Arabidopsis thaliana: one gene and its partner. The protein of the gene in region 1 interacts with the protein of each later gene in a pairwise test. Each region holds a gene or a part of one and is shown in the gene's direction. Other genes may lie near its edges.

What was found. The genes of interacting proteins can lie anywhere in the genome.
Region 2: the proteins of XRCC4 (region 1) and Pol{lambda} interact in a two-hybrid assay, tested with the Arabidopsis thaliana proteins (one study listed by BioGRID).

Annotation. Positions count from the first base shown.
Region 1 is NC_003074.8:8,218,409-8,226,999, forward strand, and holds XRCC4 (DNA ligase IV-binding protein), read left to right. Parts: upstream 1-2,273; 5' UTR 2,274-2,312; coding exon 2,313-2,502; intron 2,503-2,592; coding exon 2,593-2,735; intron 2,736-2,831; coding exon 2,832-2,960; intron 2,961-3,128; coding exon 3,129-3,251; intron 3,252-3,373; coding exon 3,374-3,583; 3' UTR 3,584-3,610; exon of another isoform or gene 3,611-3,740; intron 3,741-3,955; coding exon of another isoform or gene 3,956-6,463; intron 6,464-7,737; 3' UTR 7,738-7,992; downstream 7,993-8,591. Other genes in the region: RLP37 (receptor like protein 37), read right to left, coding at 3,956-6,463. UniProt on the Arabidopsis thaliana protein: May be involved in DNA non-homologous end joining (NHEJ) required for double-strand break repair. May bind to DNA. The LIG4-XRCC4 complex is probably responsible for the NHEJ ligation step, and XRCC4 may enhance the joining activity of LIG4.
Region 2 is NC_003070.9:3,464,071-3,469,955, forward strand, and holds Pol{lambda} (DNA polymerase lambda (POLL)), read left to right. Parts: upstream 1-1,855; 5' UTR 1,856-1,893; coding exon 1,894-2,004; intron 2,005-2,126; coding exon 2,127-2,267; intron 2,268-2,461; coding exon 2,462-2,779; intron 2,780-2,925; coding exon 2,926-3,004; intron 3,005-3,083; coding exon 3,084-3,214; intron 3,215-3,368; coding exon 3,369-3,431; intron 3,432-3,630; coding exon 3,631-3,810; intron 3,811-3,902; coding exon 3,903-3,956; intron 3,957-4,039; coding exon 4,040-4,128; intron 4,129-4,216; coding exon 4,217-4,307; intron 4,308-4,497; coding exon 4,498-4,578; intron 4,579-4,728; coding exon 4,729-4,796; coding exon of another isoform or gene 4,797-4,854; exon of another isoform or gene 4,855-4,896; coding exon 4,897-4,981; intron 4,982-5,079; coding exon 5,080-5,178; 3' UTR 5,179-5,385; downstream 5,386-5,885. Other genes in the region: emb2004 (RNI-like superfamily protein), read left to right, coding at 1-42, 140-270, 388-447, 539-613, 703-807, 907-1,002, 1,098-1,178, 1,270-1,371 and 1 more. UniProt on the Arabidopsis thaliana protein: Repair polymerase involved in base excision repair (BER) and responsible for repair of lesions that give rise to abasic (AP) sites in DNA. Has both DNA polymerase and terminal transferase activities. Has a 5'-deoxyribose-5-phosphate lyase (dRP lyase) activity.

The DNA of each region.
Region 1 (8,591 bases):
AACTCTTATTGAAAAACACATTGCACCACCCTGGTTTGATATTTAATTTTTAAGATAAGCATCTCTCATTATGTTAAATTATACCTGATATGCCCTTGTTGTAAGTAAGAGTCGAAATCGAATCGGTGATAGGTTCAAGGGTAAAATAGGGGATTTAGAAAAGAAGACGTGGGATGATTGAGCTGTGTGTGATAGAGGTTATGCGCTGAGTGGAGTAAAAGAAAGACTATCCAACGAATAAGTGGGTCGGTCCCATTTGTCTATAAGAGTATAGCCAAACAATAATAATTCTCCAAAAATGGTTACAGAAAAACAATAATTAATTTCACAAATATATAATAATATTTTATATTTTGGGAGATGTATATAGACGTCGTAGTTAGCTAAAGTGAATTAACAAATAGGGTTTGACGTTTTCTAATATTTGTTTTTGTTTAATTGATATTTCTTTCATCCGTGTATTAAAAATGATCACAACAACGAATCTTTTTACAAAATTTCCGAGCACAAATGAAACCTGATTTTGTATCAAATTATTTTTGGAAACATGATTTTCTTTCAAAATATTTTACAAACCAAAAAGACAACTAGAAGTCTGAAGTCTTTAGCGACAAATACATTTGTTAATTAAGATTCTGTGACATCATTAATAGTTTAACATGTACCTTATAATAGTAACCAGTTATTTTCTTATGCTCGAACAATCAAAATAAATTTGTCAATTTGCCAAAAAAAAAATCAACATTACAATAAGATAAATTTAAATATGAAAATCAACTTAAAACATGTTAATGTTTATATGCATATTTCACTAAAGTTAAATCTAAAATAGTATATTTACAGTGATGATGAACACGATTTAATAATTATACGATATCCAGATAATGTAGACTAAGTAAAGAAATGAAGTGAGCACAATTGTAATTTTAAATTTAACATGTGAATAAATTGTACAAAAAACATCTATTGATTAATATTCGATAAATTAGTAATCACTATAAATTAATAAAAAAATTTGGTTTCTAGTCAAGTGAATATAATATTTAACATTATTTGATAAAATAAATAAAGTAATAATTTATTCAAAAATCCTATAGAAATATATGGTTTCATTAGTATCATAAACTAAGAATTGTATAAACTTATTAATATCAATATATGTAAGAAAATTTAGTAAAATATGATTTTAGTATTGTTTGGTTTTTTACGCAGAGTTCAATTATATTATTTTACTACATCAATTTTTTTTGTATTGTTTTGCAGAGTTTAGTTATATGAATTGTATCCTCATCCTGTGTGAAAACTCTAGAAATTGTGTAACCACATCCTTCAGCTTTCTCCTCAATTGATCCGTTCAAATTATGTATTAATGATGTAGCTGCTTTAATTGAAGTCCTAACAATCTACACCCCAAATTCTCAATGATATGTTTGGGATTGTAGTTGGGGATGGACGAAGGCCAACCCGCTGCTCCAATCATAGCACTACGAATGGTGGAAATGTCAAGAATAAACCACTCGGGCTCAATATCGTCCACATTCTCATTAAGATAACTTAATAGGTCGTCATCGTCTTTAAGAAACAAGACTCTAGTTATTGATGAGCGACTGTTAATTTATAGAAGTTTTACTTATTTTAATTTTACATTATACATAAAAAAAATCACGTCATTGTATAAAATCCACTAAGGCGCGACCTGAATAAACTTTAGAAAAAATTTCAAATCCGTATAACTGCATTTCGTCTCATTCACAGTTGCATGAACTCTTATCATACGATTGTGCCATGCCATATTAACATCGTTTATCATCCAACAATAGTGGTGGAGTTACTTTCTTATTGAGTTCAATATACTAAAAAGGAAAACACATAATATAATTTTTTCTTTTAAAAGGCATTTTTATTATTATATGTATATTATTAGAAAAAAGTATGATTAAAAAAATTAAAAAGAAATGTAAGTAACAACATTTAACGGATTTTTTATTTATTAAAGATAAGCTTCGGTTAGGATACAAAATACAAAGATTTGCCAAACTAATTTAGATATTCTTCAATCTTTTGATGAGCTTCAAAGTAATAATTACTAATTAATTTACTGAATGAAAACAGTAATTTGTTAATTTTTAATTACTTGTGATAAAAAAATAAAAAAAAATTAATAATTACTTAAATTGTCTATATGTAATGGGAGTTTTTTTTTTTTAACAACTTCTTTTAAGTAAAATCACTAAATATATTTTAAAAAAAACAATACCGAAGCTGACTCAGCATCCACGTAAGCAAAACCAAAACAAATTATAGACATTATTATGATCGGAGTTGACTCAAAATCTTCGTCGACGACTTTTATCGAAACAATGGTTGAATCGGAGAAAACGAAACACACTTGTCTCCGTCTCGAAATCTCCGGCGCCGATCCAATTTTCGTCAAAGGCACTTGGCATAATTCTCGTTTCGATATCTCCGTCACCGATGGTTCCTCCTCTTGGATTTGCAATGGTAAACAAAAAAACCCTAAATTCACACTATCACTTAGCCTCTAGCGTTTTTCGAATCTGATTTTTATTTTGGTTTTGCTCGAAATTGAAGCGACGGAGGAGGAAGTGGCGGAGAGAGCAGCACAATGGGACCAGCCTGTGTCAGAGTATTTAAAGCTCGCCGAGCAATACTTAGGGTTTCAACAACCTAATTCGGTCTATAGTTTCTCCGATGCTCTAGAGGGATCTAAACGGGTCAGTGATCTTCTTATTGGATCATTCGTTAGTGTTTTGAAGTAAGCCTGAGATTTTTGGATGTTGTTGTTGTCTTTGATTGTGTTTTGGTTAAAGCTCTCTTGGACGTTTGAGAAGGAAGGGACTAAACTTGAGTGGAGGTGGAAATGTAAACCATCAGATGATAGCAAGAAGATCACTGTTGGGATCTTGGATTTTCTTATGGAGGCTAACATAAGGCTAAGTGTATGACTCTTATACTGTACGTTCTGAATTGTGAGGATTTGTTGTGATGTTTGAGAATGATGATGAATTAGAGCTTAAGTTCTTTGATCTATGCTTTGTTAGAAATGGCAATTTGATTTGTGTTTGGAAGATATGTGTCAATCTCTCAATACTTTAGTGTTTACACAGGAAGAAGTGGTGAACAAGACGAGATCTTTTGAGAAGATGAGAAGTGAAGCTGAGAGATGTCTAGCGCAAGGTGAAAAACTCTGTGACGAAAAAACAGAGTTTGAGAGTGCAACTTATGCAAAGGTATGAATTATTCGATCACCTTGGTTACTCTGCTTAATATCCACATCGTGGTTTGTTCTTGCTTAAACTAGAGTCATTGGTTTTTATGATCTGTTAGTTACTTCTTTTTTTTGTCAATGCAGTTTCTTTCTGTTTTAAATGCAAAGAAGGCAAAACTGAGAGCACTAAGGGACAAAGAAGATTCAGTGAGAGTAGTTGAGGAGGAAGAGTCGACAGACAAAGCTGAAAGCTTTGAGAGTGGAAGAAGTGATGATGAGAAGAGCGAGGAAGAAGCCTCAAAAAAGGCAACAAGCAGCAAAGCCCGTGGCGGGAAGAGAGCTGCACGAAGCTAAGAGATTGCCCTGCCGTGAGATTTTCAGGTCAGAGTTTCCATTCCAAGTTTTGTCAAACTCATAGCTAGGAAAATTGTTTGTCAAACCTTCTTTGGTTTAAAAAAATAATTTACAATTTGTATTACTTCTGAAAGTAAATGCAATAACTTAGAGATGGCATGATTGATTGTTAGAAAGCTTCAAGCCCCAAATTGTGATAACTAAGAAACATAGACCATCACACGAACCATATTTTATTACCAAATGGTGAGAAAATATTACAAACATAAAATTACAAAGCAAAAGAAAAAAAATCACAAAGACAAACACATGACGAGGTAGTTTCTCGACAACAACTTAGATGAATTTTTAGAGGAACTGTGAGAGATAGTGTTAAGAAGTACCTATGGTGGTTTTGCGCTTGTTTCGACAAAATTTCGCCATAAGCCACTTGTGCTTGTATGAAGTGAAAATATGTCCAATCACTAATCCACAAAACACACCAGGTCCAAATGCTATTGCAGCTGCTATCCAGTTCAGAACTGTCTCTTCCGGTTCCAACAAAGGTTCCTCGGGGTGCAGCGATGTAGGTATGGGGACATGGGTTTCTCCACAAATTTGATCGAGTCCATAGAGTCTGGGATTACCCATGAATGAAGAACAATTTTGACTTCCAAACTGTGTGCTTTGTGGCACCAATCCCTCTAGATGGTTGTGGGAGAAGTTGATGTTGGAGAGAAACGAGAGTTTCCCGAGACCTCGAGGAATTTCACCTGACAAGTTGTTTCGCGATAGGTCTAGCGTCTCGAGCTTTGTAATACTAGCCAAAGATGGTGGGATGTTTCCTGTGAATGCATTGCCTGACAAGTTGAGATGAAGCAATTCGCTCAATAGACCAATGGATCTAGGGATATGTCCAGAGAATCGGTTTCCAGAAAAATCTATGACTTTAAAGCCTCCAAAGATTTGTTCGAAATCTGTGTCTACTCCTTTATACACCAAATCAATTGAATCTTGATGATTATCATCTCCCATGTAGTTTGACCCTGGTATAGCTATATTTCTTTTGTAATCAAGTGTGAGCATAGGTCGTTGCCATACCGATGACATTTCAGTCCAGTTGGCAAAATAGTCTTGTGGCAATGATCCAACGAAGTTGTTATTCGATATGTCCATGATCCGCATGCTTGGAAAGCCTAAGTAGGCAGAGGCCTTATAGACTGGACCATAGAATGTATTTGATCGGAGCACAAGAACCGTTAGGTATTGTAGAGATCCCAACCAGACTGGAAACGTGTCTTTGATCTTGTTTCCTCTCACATTAAGATATTCCATCCACTCACAGTTGATGAAAGATTCTGGAAGTTTCCCCACCAAATTGTTGAGGCTGACATCAAGTGATCCCAACATTGAGCCATCCATGCAGAAGTCTGGCATAAATCCACTTAGACTGTTGTTTCGCAGATTTAACATGTAGAAATCAGTGGAATTCTTCAAACATTGTGGAATTGAGCCATTAAGATGGTTGTTGGAAAAATCTAAGAAGGAAAAAAATCTGAAGTTGCAGATCCATTGGGGAATTGGTCCTTGGAGGGAATTTGAGCTAAGATCCCAATCTCTTTCTAATGATTCATCCCCAAGTTCTAGAATTCTGCCGAAACTGTTGAAAGAATTATAAGAAAGATCCACTGAATCTAACTTAGAAGATCTCCATATACATTGAGGTACATGACCTTCAAACTTGTTGTAGGAAAGATCAAGGGAACTGAGGTTGACTAATTTTGATATAGAGCTAGGGACTCGTCCTCCGAAATCGTTGTGGCTAAGATCTAAATGTTCGAGATTGACTAATTTAAATATAGAGCTAGGGACTTGTCCTCCGAAGTTATTATGGCTAAGATATAAACCATCGAGATTGACTAATTTCGATATAGAACTAGGGACTTGTCCTCTAAAATTGTTGTGGCTAAGCTCTAAATGTTCGAGACTAACTAATGTAGATATAGATTTTGGGATTAGCCCATCAAGATTGTTGTAGCTAACATCTAACTCTGTCAACTTAGATGACGAAGTGGTATTCCCAAAATTAATAGGTCCTTCGAATTGGTTTTCACTTAAACAAATATCGACTAACGAAGGAATCATGAGCAAGAATGAGGGAAAAGGTCCAAAAAATGAGTTCTCAGACACCCAAAATCGCTCTAAGTTGTGGAGTTGACTAAGGTCAGCAGAAATCGTGGAGTTGAAGTAATTGGAGGAGAGGTCTACAATGGACAAGCTAGTTAAGTTGGATAATACTATATCCCCACCCGTGAATTGATTTTGACGGAGGTGCAATTCAGAAAGCTTTGTTAAGTTGGCAAATGAAGTAGGAATATTACCTCCGAGAGCATTAACCCAAAGATCTATGTATTCTAGTTGGTTTAGGTTACCTATCGAAACCGGAAATTCACCTACTAATTGATTGAAAGAAAGATCAAGATATGTGAGATGAGAAAGATTTCCAATTGAAGAAGGAATCTCTCCTTGGAGATTGCAATGTGAAAGCTCTAGGTGACGAAGATGTCGGAGTTTAAAAAGACTACTGCTAGATTTCAAAGAGGTGTTGGCAATATAGGAAACGAGATTAAGTGATATCACCTCTCCTAATGTAGCATCACATGTGACACCCTCCCAAGAACAACAATCAACGGTCTTGTTCCAAGAAAGTGTTGTTACATGATGGCTCCCGTTGGAATGGATCGGGAACTCTTTTTTTAGCTCCAAAAGAGCATCTCTTTGGTCGCTGCGGCACAAAGACCGTGTGGGAGAAGCGAAAGTGTTTGGTAAGGAAAGAAGAAAGAAAAAGAAAGAGATGGTAATAATAATACCAAGAAAGCAACGAGATTGGTTTCGAACCATCGCCTCTCAATTTTGTTGTTTGGAGACAAAGATAAATTGTTTGTTGAATGGTAAGTGATGAACATGTTTGCTTACACACTATTCTTTATATAAAAAAAATTCTCTGTAAGGAGCTTGACTTGGCAAGTCTTCCATTACATTATTTGTAAGTTAAATCAAGGAGGGAGCTTAGTTTTAGTGCATACCAACCAAAGCTTTAGAAATGTAAAAGCCAAAAAACGCACAAAAAAAATACCAAAAGGAGATAAAAACAAAGATGTATGTCCAAGTAATGTCGTGAGGAATGGGTTTGGAATTACTCAGGTCATGTGGTTGACATATTTCTATATGCCGCAACATCTTTTTCTTTTTATCAATATTTTTGCAAGATTTTTAAGTAATATTTTGTATAATCTATGAATCAGTTTCTTATATAATATAATTTATCATATCATTGTTTTGGTCCATTACTCTTAATTTAGAAAGAGGTAATAATAATATTAAGAAAGCAACCAGATTGGTTTCGAACCATCGCCTCTCAATTTTGTTGTTTGGAGACAAAGATAATTTGTTTGTTGAATGGTAAGTGATGAACCTGTCTGCTTACACACTATTATTTATATAGGAACATTCTCTGTAACGAGCTTGACTTGGCCAGACTTCCATTACATGAGCTTGACTTGGCAAGTCTTCCATTACTTTATTTTAAGTTAAATCAAAGAAAAAGCCACCAATCAAAGTTTTAGGTGTGTGTAAAAGCCAAAAACACGCAAAAAAAAATATACCAAAAGGAGATACTAACAAACAAGTATGTTGAAGTGATGTCGTGATAAATGGGTTTGGAATTATTCAGCTCATGTGGTTGACATCTTTCTTAATGCCGGAACATCTTTCTGTTTTCTTTTTTCATTTTTTGTCAGCATTTTTTGCAAAACTTTTAAGCAATATTTTGTAGAATTAATGGATCAGTTTCTTATATAATTGATCGTATGTATCATTTTTTTTGTCCATTACTCTTAAATCATTTTTCATGTAATGATTTTGACCCTTAAGTTACTCTCAAGTCTCTACAATCCAAAATTTTCACTCGTCCTTTTTTTTTTTTGAAGAAACTTTTTAATGCCCACTAAGTTGTATAAGACGAAGCGTCTAAGTAACGTAGATAGAATATCACTGTTCGATCATTCGTAAACCCTCTAGGTTGATGTTAGTTTAACCATGTTCGGTGGTGGAGAGATAAAGAACCTTGATCGTCCATTAACATTTTAGGCTAAATCTCTTTTTCAAAAATGCAGGAATACATTTGTAATCCTGGTAGGTGAATCGGTGGAGCTTCTTTCCCTAGACGGGCAGATATATTAGTTCAGCAGCTGGAGAATCTCGGCACTCACCTTAATCCGCGGCTTCAGATTCTTCCTCATCGAACCACCAAGAAAATGATGCCATCTTCATCCTCAAAATGTTGAGACTTGCTTTGTCAATGTTTTTTTGATAGAGCATAAGAATTGTTAGAGTACTGATCAAACTTGCTTATTTGGTATCAATACTCTAAAGAATTGTGTGCTTATTAATTATTAATATATTGGAGAAAAAGTAAAAAAACTGTTATAGAAAAGAAGAAAAAACACTGAAGTTAGGTTCAGGTTTCCAAATACATAAGGCTCTCAAAATCATCCCAAAGATTTGTCTGTAAATAGCCGCTTTTAGACAATATAGGGCAAAATGACCCTATAACAACCCCTTGTTTAATATGACTCTTCTCCAAATCGTAAATAGCATTCACTAGACTAAAAGGAGAGGCAAACAAATATGTATGTCTAAATAATGTCGTGAGAAGTGGGTTTGGAATTAAGCGGTTATTCCGATCATGTGGTTGAGATAGTGTCACCTACTCGTCTCTTTTCCCATTTTTTTTCTTTGTGAGGAAATTTTTGTCAATGCAGTTTCTTTCTGTTTTAAATGCAAAGAAGGCAAAACTGAGAGCACTGAGGGACAAAGAAGTTTCAGTGAGAGTAGTTGAGGAGGAAGAGTCGACAGACAAAGCTGAAAGCTTCGAGAGTGGAAGAAGTGATGATGAGAAGAGCGAGGAAGAAGCCTCAAAAAAGGCAACAAGCAGCAAAGCCCGTGGCGGGAAGAGAGCTACACGAAG
Region 2 (5,885 bases), on another chromosome or scaffold:
AAGGGACTCGTGCTTTGATGGCTGGTCTATCTTCCCACAAAGGTTTTCCAATAGAACACTTGTCATACGTCTATATTAACTCTTCCGTACCTCTACTGTAGAATTCAGTAGTTATACCGAGATGCATTTTCGTGTGCAGGGAAAGTGGCTTTGCTAGATCTCGGCAACAACTCCATTTCCGCAAAGGGTGCCTTCTATGTAGCTGAATACATCAAGAGAAGCAAGAGCTTGGTTTGGCTGAACCTGTACATGAATGATATAGGTGATGAGGTACATATATATCCAATTTATAACAATAATCTGGATTGTGTCTGTGCTTCTCTAATATCGGAAAACCTTGTCTCTTTTTGCTCTGTTGTCTATCTTAAAGATTTTCAATGGTTTCAGGGAGCTGAAAAGATTGCAGATTCTCTGAAGCAAAACCGTTCAATTGCAACCATTGACCTGGTGAGAAGTGACCATCTTCTCCAGCCTCCCTAAGTTTTCCTTGCGTCCATATCGAGCTATTTGTTCTGCTAACACGTTTTTGGTAAAATAGGGTGGAAATAACATCCACGCGGAGGGAGTTAATGCTATAGCTCAAGCTCTGAAAGATAATGCAATTATTACGACGGTCAGTGCCAAAAACCCTTCTCATCTTTGATTCCTTGTTTACGTATAACTAGTATGATAATGACACTACCACTCTCAATATTTCCTCAGTTAGAGGTTGGTTATAATCCCATAGGACCAGACGGAGCTAAAGCATTATCTGAAATTCTCAAGTTCCATGGAAATGTAAAGACGCTCAAACTTGGTTGGTGTCAGGTAAAGCCTGTCCATAACTCTTTATCTAGGAACAAAAGTATTTCTTCACAGTTACTTATTTCGTTTTGTCATGGTTCCTTTCATTTCTTATTCCTGCAGATAGCTGCCAAGGGTGCTGAACATGTTGCAGACATGTTGAGATATAACAATACAATCTCGGTTTTGGACTTGCGGGCAAATGGACTTAGAGATGAGGTTCCTGCAGACAGATTTTATGAGTATCAGATTTGTACTTCTAATATAGCTACGAACTATATGTTTTCATAATGTATGTGGTACGTTATTTGCAGGGAGCTTCCTGCTTAGCTCGAAGCTTGAAAGTAGTTAATGAAGCTCTGACATCTGTGGATCTAGGATTCAATGAAATACGGGTAAAAAAAAAGCGCTACTTCGTTTATCAATACTGTGTCTTCTTTTAAGACTTGTAAGCAGGTCAATCTTATTATTTTGCCTCATTTGTAGGATGATGGAGCATTCGCCATTGCTCAAGCATTGAAGGCCAATGAAGATGTCACAGTTACATCGATAAACCTTGGGAACAACTTCATCACCAAGTTTGGACAGGTAAGAAACATATGGTGCAATGGAGATAATCAAATCTTTCGCTCGACATTGCTGAGAAATTTCCCTTTTGTGTTATCCAGAGTGCGCTCACGGATGCTAGAGATCATGTTCTTGAGATGACTGAAAAGGAAGTAGAAATTTTCTTCTAGGAGAGACATTGAAGTGAAGAAGACTTTGTCACTCTGTAATTTTGCACCATTAGTTGTTGTTTCATTATTTATGACGTTGAAATGATTCAAGCGAGAGATAAAACATTTGTTGTTCCTTACGGTGAGATTTAATTTTAATTCAAGGAAGTTTTCATGAAAAATGGTGTTGACTAACAAAAGAGAGGCATTTTAAGTCAAAGTTGGTCGTTGAATGAGGAAAAAATTCATTCGGTTTAGAACAGGTTATTTCGGTTTGGTTCCGATTCGGTTCGTTGAAACGAGCGTAATTGCCTAATTGGGGTATTCCTGCTTTGAAAGACATATACTAGTTTGGTGGACAAAACTCGAGTGAGTTACGAGTAAAGCGAGAAAAATGGCGGCAAAGCGAGGGAGAAACCGGTCGCCGTCTCCGGACCCGGAAGGGATGTTCGCCGGAATGGTAGTTTTCATGGTTGAAATCGGAGTCCAGCGTCGTCGATTGCAGGTTTTACTCTGAAAATTTTGTTCAGTGTTATTTTACTTGCATCATCTTCGACAAATTTCCTTAACATCTTCTTTTTAATTGTTGCATGCTATGTCTGTAATTTTCTCTCTATTTGAATGAAGATCTGGAAGCAGAAGCTGGTTCAAATGGGTGCAGTGATCGAAGAAGATCGGGTAACGAAGAAAGTCACTCATGTTCTTGCCATGAATCTCGAAGCTCTTCTCCACAAATTTGGGAAAGAACGTCTCTCGCATTTTACAGCAGTAAGTTGGTTTTTCGTTCTTTTCAGTTTTTACTAAAAAATGGATTTCGTCATATAGAAAAAACAATCTTTTATAACTATCTGTTGTGTTGTTCATGAGTTTTCTCTACGATTAGATTAATTGGGTACAAGTTTTATCTACGAATAGAGATTATCCAGTGTTACAAGTTTATATACATTGGTTGTTCCTTGCAGCGCCTTATGCTTTACCAGTGGTTAGAAGATAGCCTAACTTCAGGAGAGAAGGCTAATGAAGATTTGTATGTTCTCAAAATTGACTCAGAAGAAGTTGATAAGCCGAAAAAGTCTTTGCCTGCAATAAGTGGTAGCGAGGATCAATCTTCACCTCAAAAAAGAACCAGATATTCTCCTGATGCTGGTGACTTCAAAGGCGTTGAAAGTCATAGCAATACACAAGGATCACCGGATTCACCAACAAGTTGCAGTGTTCCCTCTACTAGCGCCAGTCCTGGAGAAGGCATCGCAGAGACTCCCACTAGTCCACAATCAGAGGTAAGCCTGAGTGACTCCTTTGCTGATGCATCCTTTTGGTTCTTAGAAGTTAACTAAACAAAAACCTGTTTTCTATATCTGCATTTTCAGAAAGAAATAATGTTGTTGATATTGGAAGTTCTCATTGATCTTCTTTTGATTTGTAGTCCACATCGGTGTACAAACCACCCGATTTGAACAGAAATATCACTGAGATATTTGGAAAGTTAATTAACATATATAGAGGTACAATCTCTGGTGTTTGTATTCTAGACTACTCGCTTATAGTAAGTAAGTAACAATACTCTTTCTTTTTTTTCAAAAGCTTTGGGTGAAGATAGACGGTCCTTTAGCTATTACAAAGCTATCCCCGTCATTGAAAAGTTCCCCACTAGGATTGAAAGCGTTGATCAGCTCAAACACCTCCCTGGAATCGGAAAGGCAATGAGAGATCATGTAAGTTGAGAAATGCTTCAAATGTTTTGTCTAGGTTCTGTGTGTGGGTGTCAAAACTGCAAACACTTACCCTTTTCCTAGTGCATACCTATAACCTTTGTTTTGATGTATTTCTGTGAGAACAAAGTCTTATTCTTCTACCTGAATTTGGCAGATTCAAGAGATTGTGACAACAGGGAAGTTGTCCAAGCTTGAACATTTTGAAACAGATGAGAAGGTAATTTTGAAGTCCTTGGTTATAGTTATTTTGCTATCTCCCATTTTCAATTAGATACAAGCTCACATGTAGAGGCCATTTGCTTTTCTCTTGTTCCTTTTTCTCTTTAAAGAAAAATACTGTCAATGACCGAACTGGAGCTAGAGATGTCTGATATGTTTTGTTTACCACTATAAATGTTTCATTACTATGGTTGAAGGTTCGTACAATCAGTTTGTTCGGGGAAGTTTGGGGTGTCGGTCCTGCAACTGCACTCAAGCTATATGAGAAAGGACATCGCACACTAGAAGACTTGAAGAATGAGGATTCACTAACGCATGCACAGAAGTTGGGGTTGAAATATTTTGATGATATCAAAACACGAATTCCACGTCAGGAGGTGCGATTCTTAAACTTCAACGTGAATTTTGTTTGTCTTTATTATCCTTCTTGTAATTTTCTCCTCATATTTCTTCACTTTCTGTATTGTAGGTGCAAGAGATGGAACAACTTTTACAGAGAGTCGGCGAGGAAACTTTGCCTGGCGTATGAACTATTCAGTTTATCGGTCTGCTCCATATTTGGGTGATAAAAGTTTAGTGAAATCCTAACCAACATCTTTACTGCAGGTGAATATTGTATGTGGAGGATCATATAGACGTGGGAAAGCTACTTGTGGAGATCTGGATATCGTTGTCACCCATCCTGATGGACAAAGGTACCTACAATCTTCTTTCCTCATCTTCCTGCGTTAGTTTCCTGTAACAAAGTTTACTTAAACTGTTTTTTCTTATTGTCCTGACCAGTCACAAGGGATTTTTGACAAAGTTTGTAAAGCGTTTAAAAGAAATGAACTTTTTAAGGGAGGATCTCATCTTCAGCACCCACAGTGAAGAGGTAAGATGATCTGATAAAATTATTTAAGAGAGGATCTCATCTTCATTGAAAACACATTACTTCAGTTGTTTCAGTATCTTATAAAATGATCTCTTTTAGCATTAGATAAAGCTTTGTTCTCTCAGAGTTGCATGTGTAACAAAAATTCTTGTTCAATCACAGCTCCTCAATGATTTCCCTTATTGTGCAGGGTACTGATTCAGGCGTTGACACGTATTTTGGTTTGTGCACTTATCCTGGTCAGGAGCTACGGCGCCGTATCGATTTTAAGGTAACACCTGAAAACTCCTAATGTCACACAATGCAGAAAAGAACTAAGTGGGTTAGTCAAAGATAAAAAGGACAATACCATGATTGATTCAGCTATGTCTAGGTTGATCTCTTCCCGGAAGATCATTCAATAAATAGTCTTTTTTCATAGGTCTATCCAAGGGATATCTATTCGTTTGGACTCATAGCCTGGACAGGGAACGACGTGTTGAACAGAAGGTATGGATATGATTTCATTTGTATACATGTCTCACTAAACACATTTGTTGGTAGATAAAGAACACAGCATATGTATATATATATGCGATGATAACTGCAGGCTGAGATTGCTAGCAGAATCGAAAGGATATCGACTTGACGACACTGGACTATTCCCAGCTACTCACAGTTCTAGTGGTAACCGGGTAAGTAAGGGAGAAAAGTGAATTAACTTGATGTGAATTCTTGGGTTTTAAAGTGAAAGAATGATTATGTTGAAGCTGTGATAATGTTTGTCTCTCAGGGTGCTAGAGGAACTGCAAGTCTGAAACTCTCAACGGAGAAACAAGTTTTTGATTTCTTAGGATTTCCTTGGCTCGAGCCACACGAGAGGAATCTCTAAGGCATCACAGGCACACAGCCTTTGGTACTAAATTTTTTTTTTTTCTTTTTGAATAGGTTCTGTATGTAAGTAATCGGTTCCTTTTTGTAATTGCATATCCATGGACAACTGATTTAGATGTTACATATAATGCAATGCAATGTACTTGTATTAGAAACCATTGCATATCTTTAAGGTAAACTAAGAAAACCTATGGTACTGAGGAAACTTGGGATCTCAATTTTTTTTTAAAATACAATTCCTTTACTAAATAATTAATTACACGTGTCATAAGATAGTTGGATTAAGTGTGGAAATAAGAGTGTCAAATGTCCCACATCGAAAAGCCAGCAGAAAACCAATTTGTATATATAAGGACACAAAAGATAGATGGTCACGACCTTACTTGAACAGGATCTGTTCTATAGGCTCGTACCTCTGTTTCCTTGATTTCTAAGGAGACAGGCCCTAAACCCTGGTTGATGAACCATGACCGTGCGGTCAGAGCGTGATTGATGGCTACGATCGTCTTCGGACGCATCCGGTGCTGTAGAGGATCGTTACTCGGCTTGGTCTTCCTTGCCGGGGTGGTCGCACGGCGGTCTGACAGGTTCTTTTTATTTTACCCTCGGTTTTTTTTTTTTTTTTTTTTTTTTTTTTTCACCCTCAAAACTTTCAATTTCTTACATTTTCACCCTTTAATTGAAACCTCGCTAAAACCCTCAGCT